Linked DNA regions of Saccharomyces cerevisiae S288C. The protein of the gene in region 1 interacts with the protein of each later gene in a biochemical or structural test. Each region holds a gene or a part of one and is shown on either strand. Other genes may lie near its edges. The genes, in order: PUT3 and MYO3.

What was found.
Region 2: the proteins of PUT3 (region 1) and MYO3 form a complex in vitro, tested with the Saccharomyces cerevisiae proteins (one study listed by BioGRID).

What each region holds. Positions count from the first base shown.
Region 1 is NC_001143.9:406,175-423,467, reverse strand, and holds PUT3 (Put3p), read right to left. Parts: upstream 14,925-17,293; coding exon 11,985-14,924; downstream 1-11,984. Other genes in the region: putative ubiquitin-protein ligase UFD4, read left to right, coding at 1-2,044; CCE1 (cruciform cutting endonuclease), read left to right, coding at 2,252-3,313; snoRNA-splicing protein PRP40, read right to left, coding at 3,407-5,158; ARC19 (Arc19p), read left to right, coding at 5,445-5,960; URB1 (Urb1p), read left to right, coding at 6,555-11,849; ATP7 (F1F0 ATP synthase subunit d), read left to right, coding at 15,479-16,003; ATP-dependent 5'-3' DNA helicase HCS1, read left to right, coding at 16,227-17,293.
Region 2 is NC_001143.9:195,023-203,410, forward strand, and holds MYO3 (myosin 3), read right to left. Parts: upstream 5,146-8,388; coding exon 1,327-5,145; downstream 1-1,326. Other genes in the region: SHE2 (She2p), read right to left, coding at 266-1,006; PMU1 (putative phosphomutase), read right to left, coding at 5,862-6,749. UniProt on the Saccharomyces cerevisiae protein: One of two redundant type-I myosins implicated in the organization of the actin cytoskeleton. Required for proper actin cytoskeleton polarization and for the internalization step in endocytosis.

The DNA.
Region 1 (17,293 bases):
ATCTGCTCTCACAAGGCTGGAGAATTTCTCTATAGTTGATTGCGGTTTACACGATGGTGGTGGTGTATCTTCACTGGCTAAAGAGATAAAAATTAAGTTGGTTTATGATGGCGATGCAAGCAAAGATAATATTGGTACTGATTTATCATCTACTATCGTTTCGGTCCATTGCATAGCTTCTTTTACCTCACTTAATGAGTTTTTGAGACACAGAATGGTAAGAATGCGTTTTTTGAATTCATTAATCCCAAACCTTACATCTTCCAGTACCGAAGCTGATAGGGAAGAAGAAGAAAATTGCTTGGATCATATGAGAAAAAAGAACTTTGACTTTTTTTATGATAATGAAAAAGTTGACATGGAGTCTACAGTATTTGGTGTGATATTTAATACATTCGTCAGGCGAAATCGTGACTTAAAAACTTTATGGGATGATACACATACAATCAAATTTTGCAAAAGTTTAGAAGGTAACAATAGAGAGAGTGAGGCAGCCGAGGAAGCTAATGAGGGGAAAAAGTTAAGAGATTTTTATAAAAAAAGAGAATTCGCACAGGTTGATACTGGATCTTCAGCGGATATTCTGACATTGCTGGATTTTCTACATAGCTGCGGTGTTAAAAGCGACAGTTTTATCAACTCAAAACTAAGCGCTAAGCTCGCTAGACAACTAGATGAACCATTGGTAGTAGCAAGTGGAGCTTTGCCGGATTGGTCACTATTTTTGACCAGGAGATTCCCATTTTTGTTTCCGTTTGATACCAGGATGCTTTTCCTACAATGTACTTCATTTGGTTACGGAAGATTGATTCAACTTTGGAAGAATAAGAGTAAAGGCTCGAAAGATTTAAGGAATGACGAAGCTTTACAACAACTTGGGAGAATTACTAGGCGTAAGCTGCGGATTTCAAGAAAAACAATATTCGCTACCGGTCTCAAGATTTTATCCAAGTACGGAAGTAGCCCTGACGTACTGGAAATTGAATATCAAGAAGAAGCAGGAACAGGTTTAGGACCGACTTTGGAATTTTACTCCGTAGTTTCCAAGTATTTTGCAAGAAAGTCGTTAAATATGTGGCGTTGTAACTCTTATAGTTACAGAAGCGAAATGGATGTTGATACTACTGACGATTATATTACCACTTTATTGTTCCCAGAGCCCCTCAACCCGTTTTCCAATAATGAAAAAGTTATTGAACTTTTTGGATATTTGGGGACATTTGTTGCCAGATCGTTGCTTGATAATAGAATTCTTGACTTTAGATTTAGCAAAGTCTTTTTTGAGTTATTGCACAGAATGTCTACGCCCAATGTGACGACAGTGCCGAGCGACGTTGAAACCTGTCTGTTAATGATCGAATTGGTAGATCCGTTACTCGCAAAATCCCTTAAATACATAGTAGCGAATAAGGATGACAATATGACCCTAGAATCGTTGTCCTTGACATTTACCGTTCCTGGAAATGATGACATTGAGTTGATTCCGGGGGGTTGTAATAAATCCTTGAACTCTTCTAATGTTGAAGAATATATCCATGGCGTTATCGACCAAATATTAGGTAAGGGCATTGAAAAACAGTTAAAAGCATTTATTGAAGGTTTTTCAAAGGTGTTTTCCTATGAGAGGATGCTAATACTTTTTCCGGATGAATTAGTGGATATTTTCGGACGAGTTGAGGAAGACTGGTCTATGGCAACTTTATACACAAACTTGAACGCTGAACATGGCTATACAATGGATTCTTCAATCATTCATGATTTTATATCAATAATATCCGCGTTTGGTAAGCATGAAAGAAGATTATTTTTGCAATTTTTAACGGGATCTCCCAAGCTTCCAATTGGGGGATTTAAAAGTTTGAACCCAAAGTTTACAGTTGTGTTAAAGCATGCTGAAGATGGCCTAACAGCAGACGAATATCTACCAAGTGTAATGACATGTGCTAATTATTTGAAATTGCCGAAGTATACTAGCAAAGATATTATGCGGTCTCGTCTTTGTCAAGCCATTGAAGAGGGTGCAGGAGCTTTTCTACTTTCCTAAATTTTAGTTACTTTTTCTATTTAAGTTTTATATGACTTCAAAATTATTTCTTAAGATACAAAAAATGGATGGAATCAGACTAAATTTCTTCGGATTATCCGTACTTTTCTCATTTTTTTGTTTCAACTGGCGATTCCATATTTGTTTATCCATTGCATACAACGAAGGCTTACGGTTATACAGTCTAAAGCTAAAAAAGATAGTAATATGTCGACAGCACAGAAAGCTAAGATATTGCAACTCATCGATTCCTGCTGCCAAAATGCAAAAAGCACACAACTGAAATCTTTATCATTTGTTATTGGAGCAGTAAATGGCACGACGAAAGAAGCTAAAAGAACCTACATTCAAGAACAGTGTGAATTTTTGGAGAAGTTACGACAACAAAAGATAAGAGAGGGAAGAATTAACATATTGTCTATGGATGCTGGTGTTTCTAACTTTGCTTTCTCTAAGATGCAATTGCTCAATAATGATCCGCTCCCTAAAGTACTAGACTGGCAAAAGATAAATCTAGAGGAGAAATTTTTTCAAAACCTCAAAAAGTTAAGCTTGAATCCTGCTGAAACTTCTGAGCTTGTATTTAACCTTACGGAGTATTTATTTGAATCTATGCCGATACCAGATATGTTTACAATTGAAAGGCAACGTACCAGAACTATGTCTTCGAGGCATATTTTAGACCCAATTTTAAAAGTGAATATTCTCGAACAGATTCTTTTCTCTAACTTGGAAAATAAAATGAAGTATACGAATAAAATACCGAATACGTCCAAGTTGAGGTATATGGTATGTTCGTCCGATCCACATCGGATGACTTCATATTGGTGCATTCCAAGAGAAGAGACACCGACCAGTTCAAAAAAGTTAAAATCTAACAAACATAGCAAAGATTCTCGAATAAAGCTAGTGAAAAAAATACTTTCAACCTCAATACTAGAAGGTAATTCAACTAGTTCTACAAAACTGGTCGAGTTCATAGGAGTTTGGAATAATAGGATAAGAAATGCCCTTACCAAAAAAAAAAGTTTCAAGCTATGTGATATACTAGAGATCCAAGATAATTCGGGGGTGAGAAAAGATGACGATTTGGCAGATTCATTCCTCCATTGTTTGTCTTGGATGGAGTGGTTAAAAAATTATGAAAGTATTACTGAACTCTTGAATTCAAAAACACTGGTTAAAACACAGTTCGGACAGGTGTTTGAATTTTGTGAAAATAAGGTACAAAAGCTGAAATTTTTGCAGAACACTTACAACAATGACTAAGAAATTGTGCGGTGATCGCAAACTTGAAATAACATGTAATCTCTATGTATAATTTATATAATGATTAACAAGATAGAGGTCGACACGTCAGAATCAATAGTCCAATTCCACAGCCGGAGTTAAATGCCTCTTTTTTGACGCGGTCAACGTTAAGTTTGCAGTAGCGCTTTCGGCAGTCGGTGCAGAGCTTTCAGGCTTAAAATCCTCGAAAATTTGTCTTCTTATGTTATCTTCATCGCCTAGTGCCTTGTATTCAAGAGATTCGCCAAGCTCTTTGGAAGCTAAATCCCACGTACTAGGCTTGGGCTTACCGGTTTTTGTATATGTCCTTTGCAAAAGTAACCAAAAATAGTGCTTCTTTTGCTCCAATATCCTACGCTCATTTTGGAGTTTCTGTTGTATCTTTTCGTTTCTTTGCTTTATCAAACCATCAACAATCAAACTGATGTCTTCTTTATCCACCTTGTCAAATTTCCGGTCATTTTCCAGAACTTTTTCTATGTTTTGCTTGGTGATCTCGTCGCTATCGGCATCATTCCATTCAAAATTTTGATCTATCAACGTCTGTTGGGCTATTGATCTTTGTGCAAAGATGTACATCCTTTGTTCATCAACAAAATCTAAAAATAAATCAAGGCAGGACGAGCCATTCCTTCCAAGCATATGTAAAAAGCGCGGATCAGACTTTATATGAGGATAAATATCTGACCATCTAGTATTTGCTTTGATTTTGATTGGCACTTCTCTTAATAAGCTTTTAAAGTTATCTCTAGCAATACGGTCTCTGGTATAATTGCGCAGTCGGAGCTCATTTAGTTTGTTTTGAAGATCGTTTTCAATCGTATTTACTATTTTCAGATACTCGTTTAAAACATCTTCGTGGGTTAAGACTTTGAAGTGCCGGTTCGCCATATATCTCTTACTCTTATCAAAAACATAGTGATTTAAAAGCTGCTGCCAGGTTATGAAAGTTTCAGAGGATGATGTTGTTATAATACCGTTTAAATACTCTCTTAGTTCTTTTAGGGCCTGTGTTTTCAATTTTTTTTTTGATTCTTTCTGAGTGTCGATGAGGGTATCTATATAATCTTGAAAGGTCTGTCTCTTTGTCTTTTCATTGACCACGGAGTGTTTGTATATTGGTTCGTCGGCAATTAGTCTCTTTGCGGTAGGCCAACGGGTGTAATATTTTATATGAGAATTGTTTTGCAACATTTTCTGAAAGGCTTCTTTGAATTTGCTTGTTTCATTGTGTTCCTTAAGAAGTTGATCGGCTGATCTATTGGAAAGATATTTCTCAAACATTTCTTTCTTCCATAAGGGGTCATCATCGACCATCCAATACCTTGGATCTCTGGTCCCCAGTTCTGAAATAATTCTACTGAATGACCAAGTAGAGTCTACTTGATTTTCCTTCAGCATGGTAATAAATTCCTTCTCTGCTTCTTCTTTAGTCCTTCTCCTGACATTAAGCAGTTTAGAGTTATTAGCATATTGGCTTTCCTCCTCGTTTATAGTTCGTCCCGGCTCTTGTTTTTCTCCAGCCGTAAGGGCTATTCTATTTCCATTAACCTGTGCATGGGATACTGTATCATGTTTTTGTTCTGCGATGGGTTCTACTTTCTTCTCGAAGGCCGGAATAGTCCAGCTGGTTTCTCTTGTTGTTGGATTATAATAGTATACTTTGCCGTCTGCCGTCTTGGCCGCCTTCCAGCCATTTTCTCGAAGAAGTAGCTCCTCCTGAGAAATTAGTTCCTTGGGCTTCTCCCACGTAGATTTCTTTGTCAAAGTATTGTAATAATATATCCTTCCACTTGCATCTTTAGCTTCCTTCCAAATAGACATAGTTTCACGTCTCCCACCTCCGGCAATGCTTGTCTAGTGGTCGATCTGGCTTCAGACCTTGTTATCCTGATAGGTAGGCACGCTATTGCGATGTCATCAACTGCCAGATTTCCAAGTACATTATTATTGTCGATAATTTCATATCGTTTACCACGTCGCCCCTTTTGTATAGCAAAATACAATTATAGAACAAAAAAAGCCTGTAAAGCCAAGCAAATAGAGGCTTTCGGAACAACTCGGTGTCACTTTGACAAAAGATAAAAGAGGAAGCAACTGATAGTAGGAAATGTCACAATCATTACGTCCGTATCTAACGGCTGTTCGTTATTCCCTGGAAGCTGCGTTGACTTTGAGCAATTTCTCTTCGCAGGAAGTGGAGAGGCACAACAGACCGGAAGTTGAAGTCCCTAACACTAGCGCCGAATTGTTGCTCCAACCGATGCATATATCTCGTAATGAAAATGAACAAGTATTGATTGAGCCCAGTGTAAACTCGGTGCGTATGAGTTTAATGGTGAAACAGGCAGATGAAATTGAGCAGATTTTAGTTCACAAGTTTACTAGATTTTTGGAACAGCGTGCTGAAGCATTCTACATTCTGAGACGTGTACCAATACCTGGCTACAGTATTTCTTTTCTAATAACTAATAAGCATACTGAATCAATGAAAACTGGGAAATTGGTTGATTTTATTATTGAATTCATGGAGGACGTGGATAAGGAAATCAGTGAAATTAAACTGTTTTTGAATGCCAGAGCAAGATTTGTTGCGGAAGCATATCTTGATGAATTTGTCTATTAGATTCCTAATATAGGAAAGGGAATCTTTCTCCGTCAGGGCCCTATTGACGGAAAACTTTACGATCTGTACTGACTGTGTTAGTTTGCGTACTCAATTGAACTATTTCGAGACTATTTAGTTAGATACAATAACATGTGTATGTGAATTAATTATAAACGTACTTTTAAATTGCAGTTACTTTGTATAATTATGGTGATTTTTTTAGTACTTAAATTATATTCATAAAAAGGGATTAAAATGTTTCTCCCGACACCTAAAATTAAACTTCAATCTGTCAATTCTAACACAAAACGTTTTCATTTTACGTAAACAAATGAAGATTGAAGATTCTAAAGCATTTATTATTACTGCCGCACTAGTATACGACCAAACTAAAATTATATGATAATAGTGCACCAACATATAGTAAACAGCTTTTACCTATGCACGACTTGCATGAGGATTTCAATATTATATCACTGTAGACGAAATATGAAAAATTTCAGCAATAAAGCTCATCGCAAAGAATAGTTCGGTTATATTCTTGATTGGATATTATTTCTCTAATCTATGCGGTACTACTTCATCTAACAGAACTAGAGGAGCACTTACATAATGAGTAATCATAGCGAAGCCTATGGATCTCGCGACCAGAGAAGGGAGAAGTACACCCAAGGGAAAGAGTTCGAAGACGGTACATTAGAAACACTAGAAAGTATAATCAGTGCAGTCGAAGATGAAACTCTCTCCAAAGATTACCAACCTCTAATAGTGTTCTTCCAAAGAGGATTTGGTGCTCAATTGGTACAGACTTGGTCATATTATGCTCAAGTAAATAACCATGGGAAATTCTCGAAAACTACCTCATTACTGACTAAAACCTTACGAGTTTTGTCATCTGATACTAGTACAGTGACTATTGGGAGCGGTCTAATTAGATTGATATTGACCGATTACACAAAAGTTCTCTATAGAGGGTTGAACAATATGCGTGCGCAATTAACTAATCCAATTCTTCGTCTACTCAAACAAATAGTCAATTTCAACAATGGGCAACATATAGAGGAATTAGTTTCATATTTCGATTTTTCATTACCTATTTTACCAAGACTGTTGGTACCAAGCAAGTCTGAGTTAGCCAATGGGAATTCATCTGCTGATTCATCCAAACATGACTCATTAAGATTTACATTTATCAAGTTTTGGTTGACATTGATCTCAAATGCTTCCCCATTCGTGAGAAAAGAACTTTTGACAGAAAACTTTAAGATTATGAGCAACCTATTTAAATTCATGAATAAGGCTGATTCTGACAAGTTATCTGAGCACATACTATCGGTATTCATAAACGACATTTTAAAGGAGAAATCCTTCAAGAGAACTACTAAAACCAAAATTTTAAATGAACTAGCGGCTTCAAAGATTCATCACTTTTATTATTCATCAAACAAGAATTTGGTTAAGAAGGCAAATGAGTTTTTCTTAACTTTTGGAGCTTCCCGTGACTTTAGCGTAGCATTTCCTGATAATTGCGTTTGGTTCAAAAATTCAGTTGCTGATGGAGCTTCTCATGGAGCTCCGATAACCGTCAACCAAGTGGAATTTCAAATTCATAATAAACTTTTGTTCAACACTTTACGCCTTTTCAAACCTTGGGAAGATACGCTGCAATTAGGTACGTTGATCAAAATATTGGAGAACGTTCCCGAACTTGTTGCTCCTTACAGCATCTTTTTAACGACGAATGGTAACTATGACCCTAAGATGACTTCGTATTGGTTTGGTATAACGTTACTGATTAACAAGATTATTAATCTTAAGATACCGCAATTTATGGAGAAAGTTGATAGCAATATTCCACCTGCCACTTCATTAGTTATAGAAAACATTCTGCCATCTTTGCTCACCAAATCCTCGTTGGTTAAATCCCTACAATTTGAAACACCCATCATAAGACAATTAGCCTGTCAATCAATAGTTCTAGCGTTAAAAAAATTAGAAAAAGTTTCCACATTTTATGATCAAAAAGGCTGGAGAAATGAAAAAACTATTTTACTCAACGAGTTTCATACTAGAATTCCTGATTTACCAATCTTCGTATCTACTTTGAGCAATTCTTTGGCTTCCAATAAGGATAATAGAATTTTACCTCTGTCCATATCCATCATATTCAACTACTATAGTAAAATGTTCCCCAACCTCTTCTCAATTAACCTACCATCATCAAATATTTACACAGATATCATGCAAAAATCCAAGATTTCTGGCATAGAATTTGCTATTCTGGACAACTACTTACAATTTCAAGAATTTAACTCTACTCAAACCAGGTGGTGGAATCCAAGTTCTGGTGGAAATTCTTTATTCACCCTACTATTAAAGCTAGCATCCTCCAAAAATGCTTCTAACGTGATAACTACAAGAATATCCAACTTGCTCGATGAGCTGACGAGAACAAACGTTATCTTCAACATATCTTTAATTTCACCAGTGATGGCTTTAGTGAATAGTCTTCAAGGGCTTTCCCTTCAAGTTTCTGAAATTGACAACATGGAACAAGTCTGGAAGTGGTTTGACGAAACTATATCTCGTGTCGTAAAAACACCATACAAGTACGTCGATATGGCAAAAGAGTATAACTACATTTCTCCCTTCATAATGTGCCTTTCAGAGCAATGGAAATACGTTGACAAGAGTGGAAACCCAGAGTTTTTAATTAAATGGCTTATACTTTTTCTTAGAAACATGATTTTCATTGGTGAAGACCATATAGGCATAGATAAACTTGTTAAAAATGTCTTTCCTGAGGTCTCTGATCATGATGTTAATATATACTTGAAACTTGACTCATTTGAAGAAAACATAAAGAAAACTAATAGCTCTAATTCTTTAATTTCTTCAATGAAGAGCTCATCTTTTTTCCAGTATATTTCGGCGCTTCCATCTAAAAATCTAATGAATATTTCTAGATTACCAGTGAACAAATTAGATGCGGCAGGAATCCTTTTTAGAGTTCAGTTATTGGTAGAAGACGATTCTGTTGTATATGACAATTGGTTCGAAGCAACTGCCTGTGAGTTAACTGGCAAGATTGCTAGCTACATGGTAACAGACACAGAATTCCCAATTATCAAAGTTTTGGAAAGGTATATAAATTTCGCTTTACCAAAACTGGCCATTGAAAAAAGAAATGCTCTACTCATGAAAAAATCAAGGTTCATGTGCAATTTAATCGGTGCAGTATGCTTTGAAACAGGCCATCAATTAGTGGAATTCCGAGAAATAATTCAAAAAGTCGTGTTTAGTGGTGAAAATGTCGAAGAGTATGCCAACTATAATGAGTTGTATCAGAAAGAAGATGTAAATGCTTTCTTAACAAGTGTTAGTGAGTATTTAAGTACTTCAGCTTTAACTTCGCTACTCATGTGTAGCACCAAACTAGAGTCCACAAGAAACATTCTCCAAAAATTATTCAACGAAGGAAAAACTATAAAAATATCCCTTGTAAAGAATATACTGAACAAAGCTGCAAATGAAGATCCTGCTTCAATTAAGGAAGTAAACATCTCTTTGGCTAAATTTTTTGAAGAAAACAAAGTTTGTGTTGATGCTTCATCTGATCCTATGGGTAAGCTATCCCTTTCAGAAACTACTTCTCTGATAAATAGTTTTGTGTCTAGTGATTTGAATTATCTAGTACTGAAAGCTTTTTACAGATGGGAACATTTTTCTTTCCCATCTTTCATACCAAGTATCTGGAGGATCAAGGATTCACCTTTACTAAGTATTGTAACAACGGCTGCTTTGTTCAAGCACATGCAGGATAAAGATTTTAGCGCATTTGCGCATGAAACCATTTCCAAGTATGGTAATGAAATTGCGAAAAGTACTTACACTACCTCGAAAAGTGAGATTTTTGACGAAATATTAAATATGATTACCACTTATATTGATTTCTATGACGAAACGAAACGAAATGAAATTTTGAAATGTGTTTTATCACAGAGCGACCATAAATATCATGCTGCTACAGTAAGATACATAGCTGCACACAATAATTTTACTTATCCAGGGGTAGAAACATGGTTACATAAAACTCTTCTTTACCTTACAAAGTACCTTTCAGAAAGAAAAGTTATCTCCAATTCTTTTTTTGAGTTACTAAGAGCGATGGCTGAGCTCTTAAAACTTGAAGAGGTACCAAATAAGTTGAATGTCAAAATCATTAATTCTCAATTAGAGGCTATTCTAGGCAGTGAGTGGATCAAACAAATTAAGGTTCTTGAATACGTTATTGTATTAATTTTTTGTGTGAGCAAAAAGTCAATTCAATCGCAAAGAATGGTTCAACTTTTATTAAGCAATGACAGTTACTCATCAATAATGATTAAAGACAATGATGAAGATTCATCGTATCGAAAGTTCTTAAGCACAATGATATTATTCTCTTTATTCAGCATCGACCCGGTCGTAAATTCGACGCCAATAGTTCAAGAGAAATTATTGACTTTTTACTCCGGTACTATTTCCAGTAACGACAAGTTGATACTGAAAATTCTAGAAACTATCGAATCTCACACCGCTACTTCATGGACAAACATGATTTTTTCTTGGGAATTTATCAAAGACGAAGAGGAAGAAATCTTGGAAGCCATTGGAGACACGAGGCTGATTACCAAAGAAAGGGAGGGGTTGATACTAACACTACAAAAAAACATGATCAAAAAGTCCATTGACAGATACGTATTGGAAAGGCCTCAAGTCCCTGAATTATATACCGATTCTAATACAAACAATTATGATGCTACTACAAGGTGTGACCTAGTCAAAAAGTACTACGATGATACCGAACGATCTGGTGTTGATATGTACGATCCATTATTTTTACTGCTATTAATAATCCATAACAAAGAGCTGGTAAAAATGGTCAAAGATGACGAGGGCAATGTAACATACAGATATGAATTTGAAAATTTCCTTGATTGCAAAATATTTCAGTTTATTATTTGCTCATTAAGCGATTGTCATACCGTTGCCAATATAAGTTACGAACATTTATCAAATTTAGCTTCTTCTTTGGAGAAGAAAACTGCCCAGATGAATCTTGAAAAGCAAATAACTAGCAAGGATAATGAAAGAAAAGAATCTGATAGCGATTTAATCAAATATAATAGCATTTACCAAGTGTTGATTAAAAGGATTTTATACCAGAGACAACAAAATCAAGATCCTATCAATCCGTTAATTTGGTTTTCTATCTCTAGAATTGTTGATCTATTGGGAAGTCCAACTGCGCCCTTACATGAGAAGGCATACCGCTGGGTATTATCAAATTCTACCATACGTAGTTGGGACATCCCTATGGTATCTGATGTGATGATGTCCTACAATAAGAGACAACAAGATGACAATAAGAAAGAAATTGATATGGAAATATACTATGGAGAATTGAGTTGGGTTTTAACAACCATTTGTAAGGGAATTAAAACGGATGAAGATTACAAGATGTTAGAGAAGAAAGGTGTATTTGAATGGTTGTTAAACTTGATCAATATGCCATACTTGAAAGAAAGATTACGCGAACTAATCTATTTTATTTTTTACAAAGTCCAAAGGGTAGCAGATGATGGTGGTTTGAATTTAATTAGCAGAAACGGTATTGTGTCGTTTTTCGAGGTTTTGAACAATAACATCAAATCTAGACTACCACAGGACGATATACTGAACAACATTGGTACTTTACGGAACGAAAACAGAGGTACATTAAATACTACTTTGAGGTTAGCCCAAGAACAAAACGGAATTGAAAAACTACTATTAGGCTACAACGAGCTTGTCAAATCACAAAAAAGGCTAATATTATGGACAGAAGGTGATAGCGACAATGTTGTCAAGAGGCTACGTAAATGAGCTGTCTTGTGATAGATATTTTAAATAAGATTTGAAGAATTAAATGTCCACTTTTCTATATAATGTGCGAAATGTATAATATATGCATAAGAAAACAAAGAAATCAGTATTTTCTTCTTTGTCTTTGTAATGGTGTTATGGTCCTAAATAATCAGTAAAGTCAATTTCACTACCAGCAGCTGCAGTTGGATCCATAGTATTTCCCAGCCACATTGCTTGATCAGTGATTTCCTTCCAAAGTTTTTCATCGGAATGATCAATATTGCCTAAATCCTCCAACAATTGTTGTAAATCGTCATCATTTAGATTATGAACGGAATCCAACTGATCCATGTTTTTTTCCATCACCTGAGAGCCCTTTTCAGTTAGCGTGGTTTGGTATGAATTTTCCAAGCTCGCAGTTATGATATCAAAAAAAGTAGAAGGTTCCGAGTTATTGACGTTAATATCATTAACATCATTATTACCATTACTATAATCAGTCAGCGTTGGTTTCGCGCCTTCCGGAAGTATGCTAACAATGTTCGATATAGATTCGTTCTTGATCATATTTGTATTGGTGTTTGATTTATCACAGTCTATAATTGAAGGGTCAATGCGATCGCCATCTTTGTGAGGTTTACACTTTTCGGTTTCTCTTTTGGGTTCATTGCTATCTTCTACTATGTTATCGTTTTCACAATTCATAGAATCAAATTTCAAAATATCGTTATATTTAGTAATCAAGTCATTCATTATGCCGTGGAAATCCAAATTTGCCATTAATGTTAATAATTGTGCTCTTCTTAAGCCTGCTGGAATGTTGCCTAAGTTTCTCATTTGTGTGAAAATTTCCAGAGAATGATCCAAATGATATAGTGTTTGTTCATGAATACCAAAAGCAGTGTTGAATAGTAATAAAGTACAAGAAGAAGTAAAAAGATACTCTCTGTCCATATAACTAAACATAGCAAGCATACTATTCTGTAATAAACTCCACAGAGACCTAATAGTATTCACAGAAGCATGCAAAGAACATGTTAATAAGGAAGATATTGTGGCAGAATAGTTTTGTAAGTTGACGAAAGTATTGCTCGTTTTGAACCTTTTCAATTGAATGGATGCAAAATGAAATAATAAAGGTCTCACGGCCAAGTTTATTCCTTGAAAATATTCCGTAAACATATTGGTTGACAATCTCGATATTTTGAAATCTTCATCCTTTTGCGTAAAATCCACCTGTAAGGAATCGGACAAATTGTTCCTCCATTCCAACAACTGCTTGATGACAACTTTCAAAGTAATTATGATGTTTGTCTCAGGTTGCCTTTGATATAATTTGCTCAAAATTTGTGCATTGATTTTCACAATAGTAACGCAGTTAGAAATCAATTCTGCCTTTCTGAAAACATAGTGACTATTTTTCTCTTCGATAGTTTCATCATCAATATCCGCTGGCAGTGCTGTAGAGATTGTATAATCAGTGAAACTTAATGGTAACCCAGCTTTTGAGCTAAGCATTCGTTCAAACATGTAAACTGTCCACCAAAGTCTCCTATGATGCTCGATTTCATACCTGGATAGAGTGTCGCTTTGAGAATCAACATGTAAGCCTAGAATTAAGCACGTCCTTAGGGCTTGACCGAAGTAAAAATAAGAGGCTAAAGTGTAATCAGCCACCTGTAAGAAGAACGCGTATAACAACAGGACTTCAATACCGCCTTTCTTAGTCACATTTTCTAATCTTTCACTTGAGAACAAACAATTAAAAATTTTAGAACCCATTTGAAAAAATTTTGAACCGGGCAATTTTGGCTGATTAGAATAATTCTTCAACATTTCATTATTGATGGAACCCAGATACATTTCACCTACTGCTAAAATTAACAAAATTTTGCAAAACCAAACAGCTTGTAAAATTGGATCATTCTCATTGTCCAAAGCTTTTTTGGTATTATCATAGTATAGCCATTTATTTTCCAAGTACAATTTGTTAATGCCACATTTAACCAGGCCTTCGTTGAAAAAGTAAAAACAACCATCGTTATAATTTATAAAGCAGTCAATTAATAGTTTTGTGTAATTATACGAAGGCAACTGAAACTGTATTACCTCTTCCTGGCCACTACTACCATCCGTATCGCTTTTCAAAATTATCTTAAACATCAATGGAGATAAATTATCGTTGATTGAGTTTAAGTTGACAATAGTCGATATAGGGTTCAAAAAATTATAGGACGAGAAAAGATAGTTGTTTGAATTGATAAAAGAACTTATAGCCGGGTTCAGGTTTGAATTTAAAATCTTGTTTTTGGTGTTTATTGGCAAAGGTCGAAAATTCTTGACCGAAATATACTTTGTAACCAAAGATTGAATTTCTAACCCAAATAATGTCATTGAAGAAGATCCAACAAAATAATGGAATCCATTGTGAGATTCTATGAGCCTACCACTTCTTTGAGCAAAATTTGTTGATATTTCTTCATCATCTTCATCATCATCCTCATGACCATTGGCACCGTTGCCATTTTCGCCATTAGCATTAGCTGGTTGTTTAAAGATGCTGATGGCCTTTTTGTAGTATTTTTCCAAACTATGATCATAGCTCCTATTATTTGTGATTCTGTTGCTGTTGTCATCGTCGTTATCGTTATCGGACGCAGTGTTACTATTGGACATGAGGTCAAATATAGGAGCCGCCGGAGCGCTGGATACTTCCAATGTGTCACTTGAGGGTGCATTGTTTATATGCCTCTCGTCATCATCGCTGTTATCCTTACCACGTACACTCACTGGTCTCTCCAAGAGCAAAGCTTTCAGGCGGTTATTCTCTTCAGTTTTATCATTCAAGTCTTTTTGCAGTTGTTGCAGATACTTTGTCGACACAACAATTTTTTTTGACGGCTCCAAGTACTCACATATGGCATTGCTCGTAACACATTTTTGGCAAGGGTTACCACCAGGACATTTTATATGACGTTTCCTACAAGAAAGGCATGCGACAGAAGATCTCTGCTGCCTTTTTTGCGGTTGTTTATTAACGTAGGCTGGTTGCTTAGATTGTATCGAATGCCTACTGCCTTGGTCGGTCACCATTAAACTCGTTAAGATCACTGCAATTATCCTATCAATGAGTTAGTTGGACCAGTGTCGTATTTATCGTTATTGTAATGGTTACTTACTAATTGCTGCTTAGAAAGCTTTAAATTGCCGCCGAAGTCAAGTATATCATCAAGCACCTGGTGGATGTTTTCATTTTTACTCCAATATTCGCCACCTCATTGCCGCGGAGAAATATCGTTTATAATGACATATCCGATGACTCAATCCCATAAACGAGGTATGGGTGTATATCACGTGATATATTATGCTCACGTGATGACCACGTGACTAATGAGCGGGTTACAAGAATTATTTTCTCTTCGATTTGATTGGATATTTGTCTTGATGCCCCCAAAAAAGTAAAAGATACACCAATTACCACTTGCTGCTTAGCGTAGGTGTAAAACATATTTCTACTAGTACAATACTTTTCTATATAAGTTTATATATTCATATTGACACGTAACGCAAAAGAACAATCTTAGGATTTAAAAGAAATTTTTCGTGCACTTAATTGCAGAATCACCTAATTATATTTTTGTTCGACTATGTCTTTGGCCAAATCCGCTGCTAACAAACTTGACTGGGCAAAAGTCATCTCTTCTCTACGTATAACAGGGTCGACTGCCACTCAATTATCGAGTTTTAAAAAGAGAAACGATGAGGCACGTAGACAATTACTAGAGCTGCAAAGTCAACCCACCGAAGTAGATTTCAGTCATTATAGATCTGTGTTGAAAAACACTTCAGTCATTGACAAGATAGAATCATACGTTAAGCAATATAAGCCGGTCAAAATCGATGCCTCCAAACAATTACAAGTGATTGAGTCTTTTGAAAAGCACGCAATGACCAACGCCAAGGAGACAGAATCCTTAGTTTCCAAGGAGTTAAAGGATTTGCAAAGCACCTTAGATAATATTCAATCTGCAAGACCTTTCGATGAATTAACTGTTGACGACCTGACAAAGATCAAACCTGAAATTGATGCTAAGGTAGAAGAGATGGTCAAGAAGGGTAAATGGGACGTACCTGGTTACAAGGACAGATTCGGCAATTTGAATGTGATGTAGTACCCTTTACCTCTATATATTACGCACCATATTCTATTATTTTTTTCACAGGTTTATATAACTGGCAAATATTATAATTAAACATTCTTACTGTCATATATACACAAATGTGCGCCTGCATATCCTTACGCTAAGAAAATCTTGTACGTTACATATATTTCAAAAATATGAAGGCTGATGTAAAGTTGTCTCTTGAGAAATATAGAAAAAAGAGTAGAGGGAAATGAACAAAGAATTGGCTTCTAAGTTTTTATCAAGCATCAAGCATGAACGTGAACAAGACATTCAAACAACTTCTAGGCTATTAACAACGCTATCTATCCAACAATTGGTGCAAAATGGCTTGGCAATAAACAACATACATCTAGAAAACATAAGATCCGGTCTCATTGGCAAATTATATATGGAACTGGGACCTAACTTGGCGGTTAACGACAAAATTCAAAGGGGTGATATTAAGGTTGGTGATATTGTTTTGGTACGCCCTGCAAAAACCAAAGTAAATACCAAGACTAAGCCCAAAGTCAAAAAGGTGTCTGAAGACTCCAATGGCGAGCAAGCGGAATGCTCAGGCGTTGTCTACAAAATGAGTGATACTCAAATCACCATAGCTCTAGAAGAATCTCAAGATGTTATTGCTACCACATTTTATTCTTATAGCAAACTTTACATTTTAAAGACTACCAATGTCGTCACGTATAATAGAATGGAATCCACAATGAGAAAACTGTCTGAAATTAGTTCACCCATACAAGACAAAATTATACAATACTTGGTAAACGAACGCCCCTTCATCCCCAATACAAACAGCTTTCAAAACATTAAATCTTTTTTAAACCCGAATCTGAATGACTCCCAGAAAACTGCCATTAATTTTGCCATTAACAATGACTTGACCATTATACATGGTCCTCCTGGTACGGGTAAAACATTCACATTAATTGAATTGATCCAGCAATTGCTAATTAAAAATCCTGAGGAGAGAATCTTAATTTGTGGGCCTTCCAATATTTCTGTGGATACGATTCTGGAGAGGCTAACGCCTCTTGTGCCGAATAATTTATTATTAAGAATCGGTCATCCTGCTAGGCTATTAGACTCTAATAAAAGACACTCTCTTGATATACTTAGTAAAAAGAATACTATTGTGAAGGACATTTCCCAGGAGATTGACAAATTAATTCAGGAGAATAAAAAACTAAAAAACTATAAGCAACGTAAAGAAAACTGGAACGAAATTAAACTGCTGCGCAAAGATTTAAAGAAAAGAGAGTTCAAAACCATTAAGGA
Region 2 (8,388 bases), 210 kb from region 1:
GGAGGCTTCATTTTAGGCTATAGTTCCTCATATTTTTTTTCCTTGGCACACCTGCCATTCTCCTTTGCATACCTATTGTATCAAAAAGTGAGAAAAAAACAGCGCGGTTTGAGATGCTGAAAATGAGTACGCCAGAATAAGAGCCGATCATCAGTGTTTTGAAAGCTTACTTTCTGTGCTATGTGATGAGGCTATTCATGTATATATATATGTTCTATTAACTAGTGGTACTTATTTGCTCTTTTTGAGCTAAAAACTGAAGGCCTCAGTTTTTCAATTTACCAAATTTGTCATGCCATTTAGTAGCGACAACATCAAATTCTTCGTCCAAGGCGCTCAGCTTACCATCTAAAATGGAGTGCCACGCAGCTGACAAGGTCTGAAATTCTTCTTCGGAGTTGACAGGAAGAATCTCCTGCAAGAAGATATTATCAGTTTCTCCGATATTCGTTCCGTCCTCATCTGCGCATTTAATGGCAAATTGAACAACTTCTAAATCTAGCAGGTTGCTGCCTATACGCAAAGACTCAATCATCCATTGAGAAAATTTCACGAAATGATTGTAGGTATCGTCAATGGCTAATATGGACTCTGCTGTTAGCGTTAGGTCCTCGTTCAAAGTTTTAGATAAAATTTCCTTTTGTAATGACTGCGTTAGATAATAGTTCAGTAAGTCAAACGTTTCAACACATTTAACAAACATTGAAGCTATTGGTAAAATTACCTTGTCAAACGAATCCGCCTCTGGGTCTAATTCGTTTTTACCTTCATTGATAAACTCTGATGCATTATAGCTTAACACACAATCGTTGTAAAATCTCAATTTCTTAACAAATTTAATCAAAGTAGTTCTCTCGAATCGTAGCGTAGCTACCCTTCGCAAATGACTGATGAACTTGTTCAGCACGTGAATATAAGATGAGAGATACCGGGAGAGTAAGGCGAGTATTTGTTCAACTAATTCACAAGTTCCAGGAGTGACTTTGATATCTTTGTCTTTGCTCATTTTTAAGTGTCTGGTATTATGCAAAAGGAAAATTAAGGAGGGTTTACTGTGCTTTCTCTTTTTTTGAGAAAAATGTCTTGAGTAAAGTGAGGATTTTACTGTCAAATCTTTAAAGCTTGTTTTGAACGATGTCCTGCATTAAAGTGGGAGTTTTTCAAAACGGGAAAATACAAACAAAAAATGAAAAAAAAAAAAAAAAAGGGACTTTAACTTTCTGCGAGAGTATGTTTAAAAGTATATGTAATGCACTTTTGGTATGTTAAGAGGCATGCACGAAGAACCATTCTATAAGAGACTAAACATCTATATATTCATGTTAATTACCAGTCATCATCATCATCGCCATCGTCATTATCATCATCGTCAGCACTTTCCGCCCGCATTTTGTTTGCTCTTGCTGCCAATGCAGAAGCTAAACCGTCGCTAAACGTCCCCACCGGATTACTCTGATTATCACTAGTGGGTCCAACTGTTGCACTTCCAAACTGTACACCTTCTTGTGCACTTGAAATGGTATTGTCGATTTGGCTTGATTTCTGATTTGTAACGTCATTCACTGCCCCTGTCGCTGCAACAGGCACCGTATTTCTTGTGTCTTTATAAGGAGTCATATAAGCAGTAGGAACCCAACCTTCTTTGCTTCCATCGAGAAGCTTTGCTAAAGACCAACCACTAGGTTCATCTCTGCTTATAAATACAATATCGCCCTTTTTTAATGGCAACTCCGAAGATGATCCGGAACCTGGAAAGTCGTATGCAGCTTCGAATTTCGGATCCTTTGGTTGGCCCATGGGGGGAGGGGGTGGTGGTATTGGTATGTTTGCAGTTGCAGTTGCAGTTGTCTCCTTTAACGGTTCTTTATTTTTTTCAACCCCTTTTGAAGGTGGCATCGATACCTGGTTTTGCTTGGCGGATGAGGATTTGTGGCTTGAGGAGGCTTTCTTTACTGCGACTTTTTCCTTCGATGAGGGTTTTGAGCTGTGTTTCGAGCTTACTTTTGCAGCAGGGATTGCAGATGACTTTATTGGTACGGTCTTATCCGGTTTAGGATTGTATGCTGCCTGTGCAGCGGTAGCTGCCAAAGATAACGGATTCACAGGTTTTTGCGAAGGGAGAGGTTGCTTTTTTGCAGCATCCCTATGACTTCTATGGCTATGTGTATGCTTATGAGTAGATTTGTGTTTACTCTTTTTGCTTTTGATAGGTTTCCCGCTCAACCCACCTGGATTCTTAGGTTTTTTATTCGATTTGGAGTTAGCAGGGTGTCCACGACGCACGTATATTGTACTTGACTTGTAGATGTCACCGTATTTCGGTGCTGAATCGCTTATCTTTGAGCGGACAGTGTGCAACTTGTTTGGTTGTTTGTGATACTCAATCGTGGGACCAACTTTTATCATTATCTTTTCATTTAATTTTTTCAAACGTGTCATTAATTCCGTCTTGAAAGGCGTGTTAATGAGTGGATCGGATTGTGTACTATTAACAAGGATAACGCCCATCCAATCGTCTTGGAGGTTTGTTAAGCTCACTTGTTTAATTTTACCGACATCAATTTTATAATCTTGTGTATATTTCATAGCATTCTGTTCCCGTGTTTGTCCAATAATATAAAATGTCTTTTTTGTTAAGATAAACACTTTTTTCAATCTTTGAGCTGATCTGCCAAATTTAGAGTGCAGGCATTCCCCCTTTATCGAAAAAACAACTTTATCCTTAATTCCTACCTGTCTTCTGATGTACGATCCTTTCGTTTTAGACTCATTGCAGGATAAGTAATCACCCATAAAAGCCCTGTATCCAAGTAAAGACATGGATCTTCTCTCTTTTTTACCCGCTAAAAGTTTGGTTCCATAATCACGAAGCTTGACGTACTTGTTTCCACCCTTTTTCTCTCTGATAGTACGCTGAATTTTTATCGCAGCATCAATACGCCTTTGAAGAAACCTTCTCCATGCTCTCTGGATTCTAGCAGCCATGTTGTACCAGTATTTATCACGCATGTCTTCTAGAGCAAATAGAGATTCTGGAGTTTTAATGAATACGCTTGTCACTCCAAGTTGAAATTCTTTTTCTGGTATCATGGCATCTCTTAAAATAAGCTTGACTGCCTCAAGGGTGTCCCCATCCCAAGTGTAATCACCAGCATATGAACAATCTGGAGATAGTAAATAAAATCTTTCGACGAATTTTTCGAAAGTTTGTCTGTAAGCGAAACCGGCTCTCCTGATACGAACATTTTCTTGCAAACCCAAATATTTTACTTGATGTAGCACTTGGTGATCATCATAATCATTTGGTGATTTAGTTTGATTAGGCTTGATTGTTCTGATATAGGAAGGCTCAGCTTTTGACAAAGTTTCCACCAGTTCATTTGCACTTTTAATAATTTTGTCACCTGCTGTTGGAGGCCGTCTCTTTGAATCTTTGTCAACATCATCAGGAAAAATTGTGGAAAGGAATGTATTTGTCGTTGTTCCAATTAATTCAATTAGGTCCTTTTGAAGTTGGTCTTTATTTTTATCGGTGATACCATTGATGTCATAGGTGACATCTCCAGCGTAATGTTTAATAACAAATTTGTTGGCCCTTAATTCGAAGTATGGATTTGAATTAAATAAGTTAAGTCGTTGAGCAAACGCCTGGTCAGCGGCATTGGAGTCTGCATGAGCAGTTGCAATAGAGTCATTCATTGCAGCAAGAATGCCCGGTGGATTTTTCGCCTCGATTAAATCACAGACAACTTTATTGTCAAAGTATTTGATGGGGGTCCATTTGATTTTTTCTCTTTCATAAGTTTCTTGCTCAGCCTTCAAAGTCAATTGGATAAAAATCTGTTGTAACTTTTCATTAACATAATTGATACATATTTGCTCAAAAGAGTTGTGTTCAAAAATTTCGAAGCCGTAAATGTCTAGAATCCCAATTGATTTATCAGCACCAGGAAATGCCTGCAAAGATACGTTAACCCTATCGACAATCCAGTCGAATAAATTATTATAAATTGCCTTAGCAAGGGCGTCTCTCACCGCAGTTGCTTGGACTGGGTTCAAAGGTACATGATAAACTGAGCCTCTCTTCATTCCATGACTGGTTTGCATGATTCTTTCCACTAAACATTTTACCAGTAACGAAGCATCAACCTGCAACAAATAAGCGACAAAATCAGTCACTGAGGTATCTCCTACCTGAGCATTGCCCTCTTCATTTTCTATAAAGGAAATGTTACCAATCCACAGAATTGCCGCCAGCATCCTAAAAATTTGGTCTTGTTCTTCCTGGACTAAACCAATGGTTCTCATAGCCTCTAACGTGCCTTCGTAATCTTTTACGTCATCAATTGTATCTGCAGTAGTACAGCCAGCCGCAGCAGTGTAAATATATTGCTCAGGCATTTGCACACCGAACATCTGTTTATATGTATCAGATGCTCCCTTAGTGAATTGGTAAAAAATATGAAAGTTTCTTTCGTTCTTAATTTGACCAACAACTCTTTGTTTCTCTAGCAAATAATTTGTGATATTACCTGCGCAAGGTTCAAATTGTGAGTTGAATTTAATTTCTAGATACTTCCCGTGCCTTGAAGAATTGTTGTTCCGCAGAGTTTTAGCACAACCGAATGACTCGAGAAGTGGATTAGTAGCAAGAACCATATCTTTGATCTTCCCAATCGATTCTGAATGGCTATTAGATGCAGCTGCAATATATTGCATAATACGTTTGGCTGCTTCTGTCTTACCGGCACCAGACTCACCAGAAATAATAACACACTGATTTTCATTGTATGATTTGAGATTGTAGTACATAGATTCCGCAATAGCAAACACGTGTGGTGGAACTTCAAGTCTATTTTTTCCTTTATATGACTCTAAAACGGCATTTGTATATATTCCCAAATCGCGGAACGGATTTACACTAATTAACACATGGCCAATATAGGTATAAATAATTCCATTCTTAAATCTTTTTTTCAAATTTTCATTGATAGATTCATCAGATATTTTTGACAAAAGTGTCAAATCAGAAATACCTACTTCTTTCTTTTTATTTGCATCAAATGTAGCCTTTTTGATTTTTGCAGATCTCTTCTTGGGCTCCTTAACGTCCTTTCTGCGTGCTCCCTTTTTTATGACAGCCATTGACGGTTATAAGTATTTCTCTTTACTTTTTTTGATTCAAATGTGATCAGCAAATTAATGTTTTATAACTGGATTGTTGTTAATTTGCTCGCGGTCAATTGAATCGAGATTGCTTTAACCCTTTATAATAGATTACTCTATATTTACTTGTCACAGCAAACGGTTTCCTTTTTCGGTAAAGCTCTTCCCGAGGTTTATTATATAAATGCAAATCGATCAGTTTACCTTTAGTTAGAAAAGCGATGGAGCTAGCATCTTGCTACTATATAATAGTTGTTCAAGATCGTAGGTCTGCCTGCCGAGTGATTAGGGGAGGCTACTGAAGTTTGTTTTAATGTACCGGTTACATTTTCTTGTACGAAAGTATATGAAGGGGGCTTATTACTTCCAAGCCTATATTTTCTGTGGCATCGATTAGTATAGTATAAAAGAGGGAGTGGACATAGCGGTGAAAACTATACAAGAATAAAAAAGGAACTAAGAACCCTTTGCATTCATATAATTTCACATATGCATTTTTTATTTTATACTCAAATGTATGTTCTCACCTAGCTTGAGAAAGCGATGATCAAAGTGAAAGGTTCAACCATTTCTCAAAGTGCTTAACACATTATTTGAAAAGAAAGGGTTTTATTCCATCCACTCTATTATATCTATAAAAAATTATTTAAATTACCCACATATTTGAAAGTCCCGAATGGGCGCTGTGGGAAAATTCAGAGCCTGCCGCGATCGGCCGTGTTGACTGGTACTTCCACGACGACAGCGACGACTTTACCTGTGTCCAGGTTATAAATTGGAGGATGCTGTAAGTTTCTCAAGACACTTTGAATGACACCTGAGTGACAAGTAAGCGAGATGAATTTTTCTTCGCTTGACAATTGATTAAATAGTTCAAATAATCCATTCAGTGTACGTTTGTCCATTTCAGCACACGTTTCTCTATGATCAGGAAGCCACAATTCATCATCTTCTGGGTAATCTGGTACATATTGCCAATGTACAGTGTGGCCCGATTCCGTGCTGAAATCCTGGTATTCGTCAACTGCCATTGAGTGAGCCACTCTTTTGTCACAAGTGTGAGAGCCCAACGTCTCCCTTAGACCTTCTATAATGCGTGTAGAAATTTTAGTTCCGGCCGGTAATTCTTGCGTCTCCGCTAACACTGGTGTCCACGACTCAATGAATGTTTCGAGACATCTTCTCATTGGAGAACTGAAAAACACATGAGGTAGCATACCTAATTGCTTTGCCATTGGTAGCAAGACATTCGATCCTGTTCTTCTAACTTGATCTTTACCCAGAGGTGTCAGTTTAGAGTCAAGCCACTCTCCATGTTCATCGCCCGAAAGCAACGACCAATAGGCGTCCCATTTCTCCATACCGTACCTCAGTATGGCAGCATTGTGGTAACCTTGACCATGCCTAGCTAAAATCAACAGCTTATAGTGGCGATTTTTGGTATTTCTAGGGATAGCATGATACAGTTCCTTCCAATTCTTATGGTTAATCAATTCTAAGTGATCATATTTCGTGGAGTCTAATCCTTGAAAACCCTCACTTGGATATGCAGCAAAATATCCTGGGACTGCTCTGAGTGACATTGTTGAATAACTGTTGGTGATTTCACGCAGCAGAGTCTTGGAAAGAAATCGTTAAATAACATACAAATCTCTCGAGGGTTTTTTTTTGCAAATGACACTTTTTACTTTTTCCAGTACTAGCTAGCACCCGAAAAATTAACTTGACTCGCACATGCCTGCTGGGTCATATCCGAATCTGCAAGAAATTAGGATTACAAATATTTATTCAAACGTTGCACAACCACGCAATAGAAGATAATATCTGTAAATTTTAATCGCTTTCATCTGAAAACACTGAGCCTCTTCTTAATTTTCACGGACTTTTTCGCAGCCCAGGTTTGACCGGCTAAGTACGAACCTCTTTTGTTTGGAATAAGAGTTTGGTATTAATCAATTGTTGGTACAAAAGATTAATAGTATTACTTGTGTTTTCAGAATATAATTGTCCGTGAGCGTCCTAACTGTCATCGAGTTTATAGGAAGCTAATTAGTAAGGACTGACCATGCAAACCCAGCAATGAATGAAAGGATATAAACGAGGGAAGAAATGGTAGCAGTATTAAGTAAAATTGTCCATTTCCCCTCGTGAAATTATCCAAAACGCGGCAGAAGAACTTTTAAGTTATCTACTGTACATAGTGTTATTGTCCTCACGTGAATTGAATTGAAACTTTTTCAGAACATTATCGCTGAACTATAAATGAAATTTTGTAATGATTGTTCTGATCCCATCTTACTAAAAGCATTATTGTGAAGTATAAAATACAATAAATTTCTTCTCAAAAAAACTTGCCGTACATGATATGGAGAAATAGGTGAATTTAGGGATAGTAGTTATTATAATGAGCCTATTATAGAGAATCTATTATCGATTTCTAACGGTCGTATCAATCTGTTGTATTACGGGCTCGAGTAATACCGGAGTGTCTTGACAATCCTAATATAAACAGTCTTAGGGAAGTAACCAGTTGTCAAAACAGTTTATCAGATTAATTCACGGAATGTTACTTATCTTATATATTATATAAAATATGAATCATACTAAGTGGTGGAAGCGCGGAATCTCGGATCTAAACTAATTGTTCAGGCATTTATACTTTGGGTAGTTCAGCTAGGGAAGGTCGGGTTTTGTCTCATGTTGTTCGTTTTGTTATAAGGTTGTTTCATATGTGTTTTATGAACGTTCAGGGTGACGTATTGTCATACTGACATATCTCATTTTGAGATACAACACAATCACGTTTAAAAGCCTTGTTGGCGCAATCGGTAGCGCGTATGACTCTTAATCATAAGGTTAGGGGTTCGAGCCCCCTACAGGGCTTTCTTTTTAAAACAGGATGCTAAAGCCGACACCGTTCAAACACAAGTGGCAGCTTTTCTCGAGAACAGCAATGCCCACAGTTTTATTTACAATTTTACACTATTGACGTGGAGATTTTTTTATCCCGCATATGACCTAGTAGAGGATCTCTGTCTTCCCCTGATAAATGTCAAATGTATGACGTTACCACAATTGTATCACGGTGGTTTCAGTCTGTCATGAGGAATAAGGGCATTCAGTACCGACAATGCTATACTTGTAAATAGAAAAATGATGTTCTAAAATCGGCATTCTCGCTATTTGAGATTTTGTCTTTTTTTACCTGGTATTTCGCGTTTA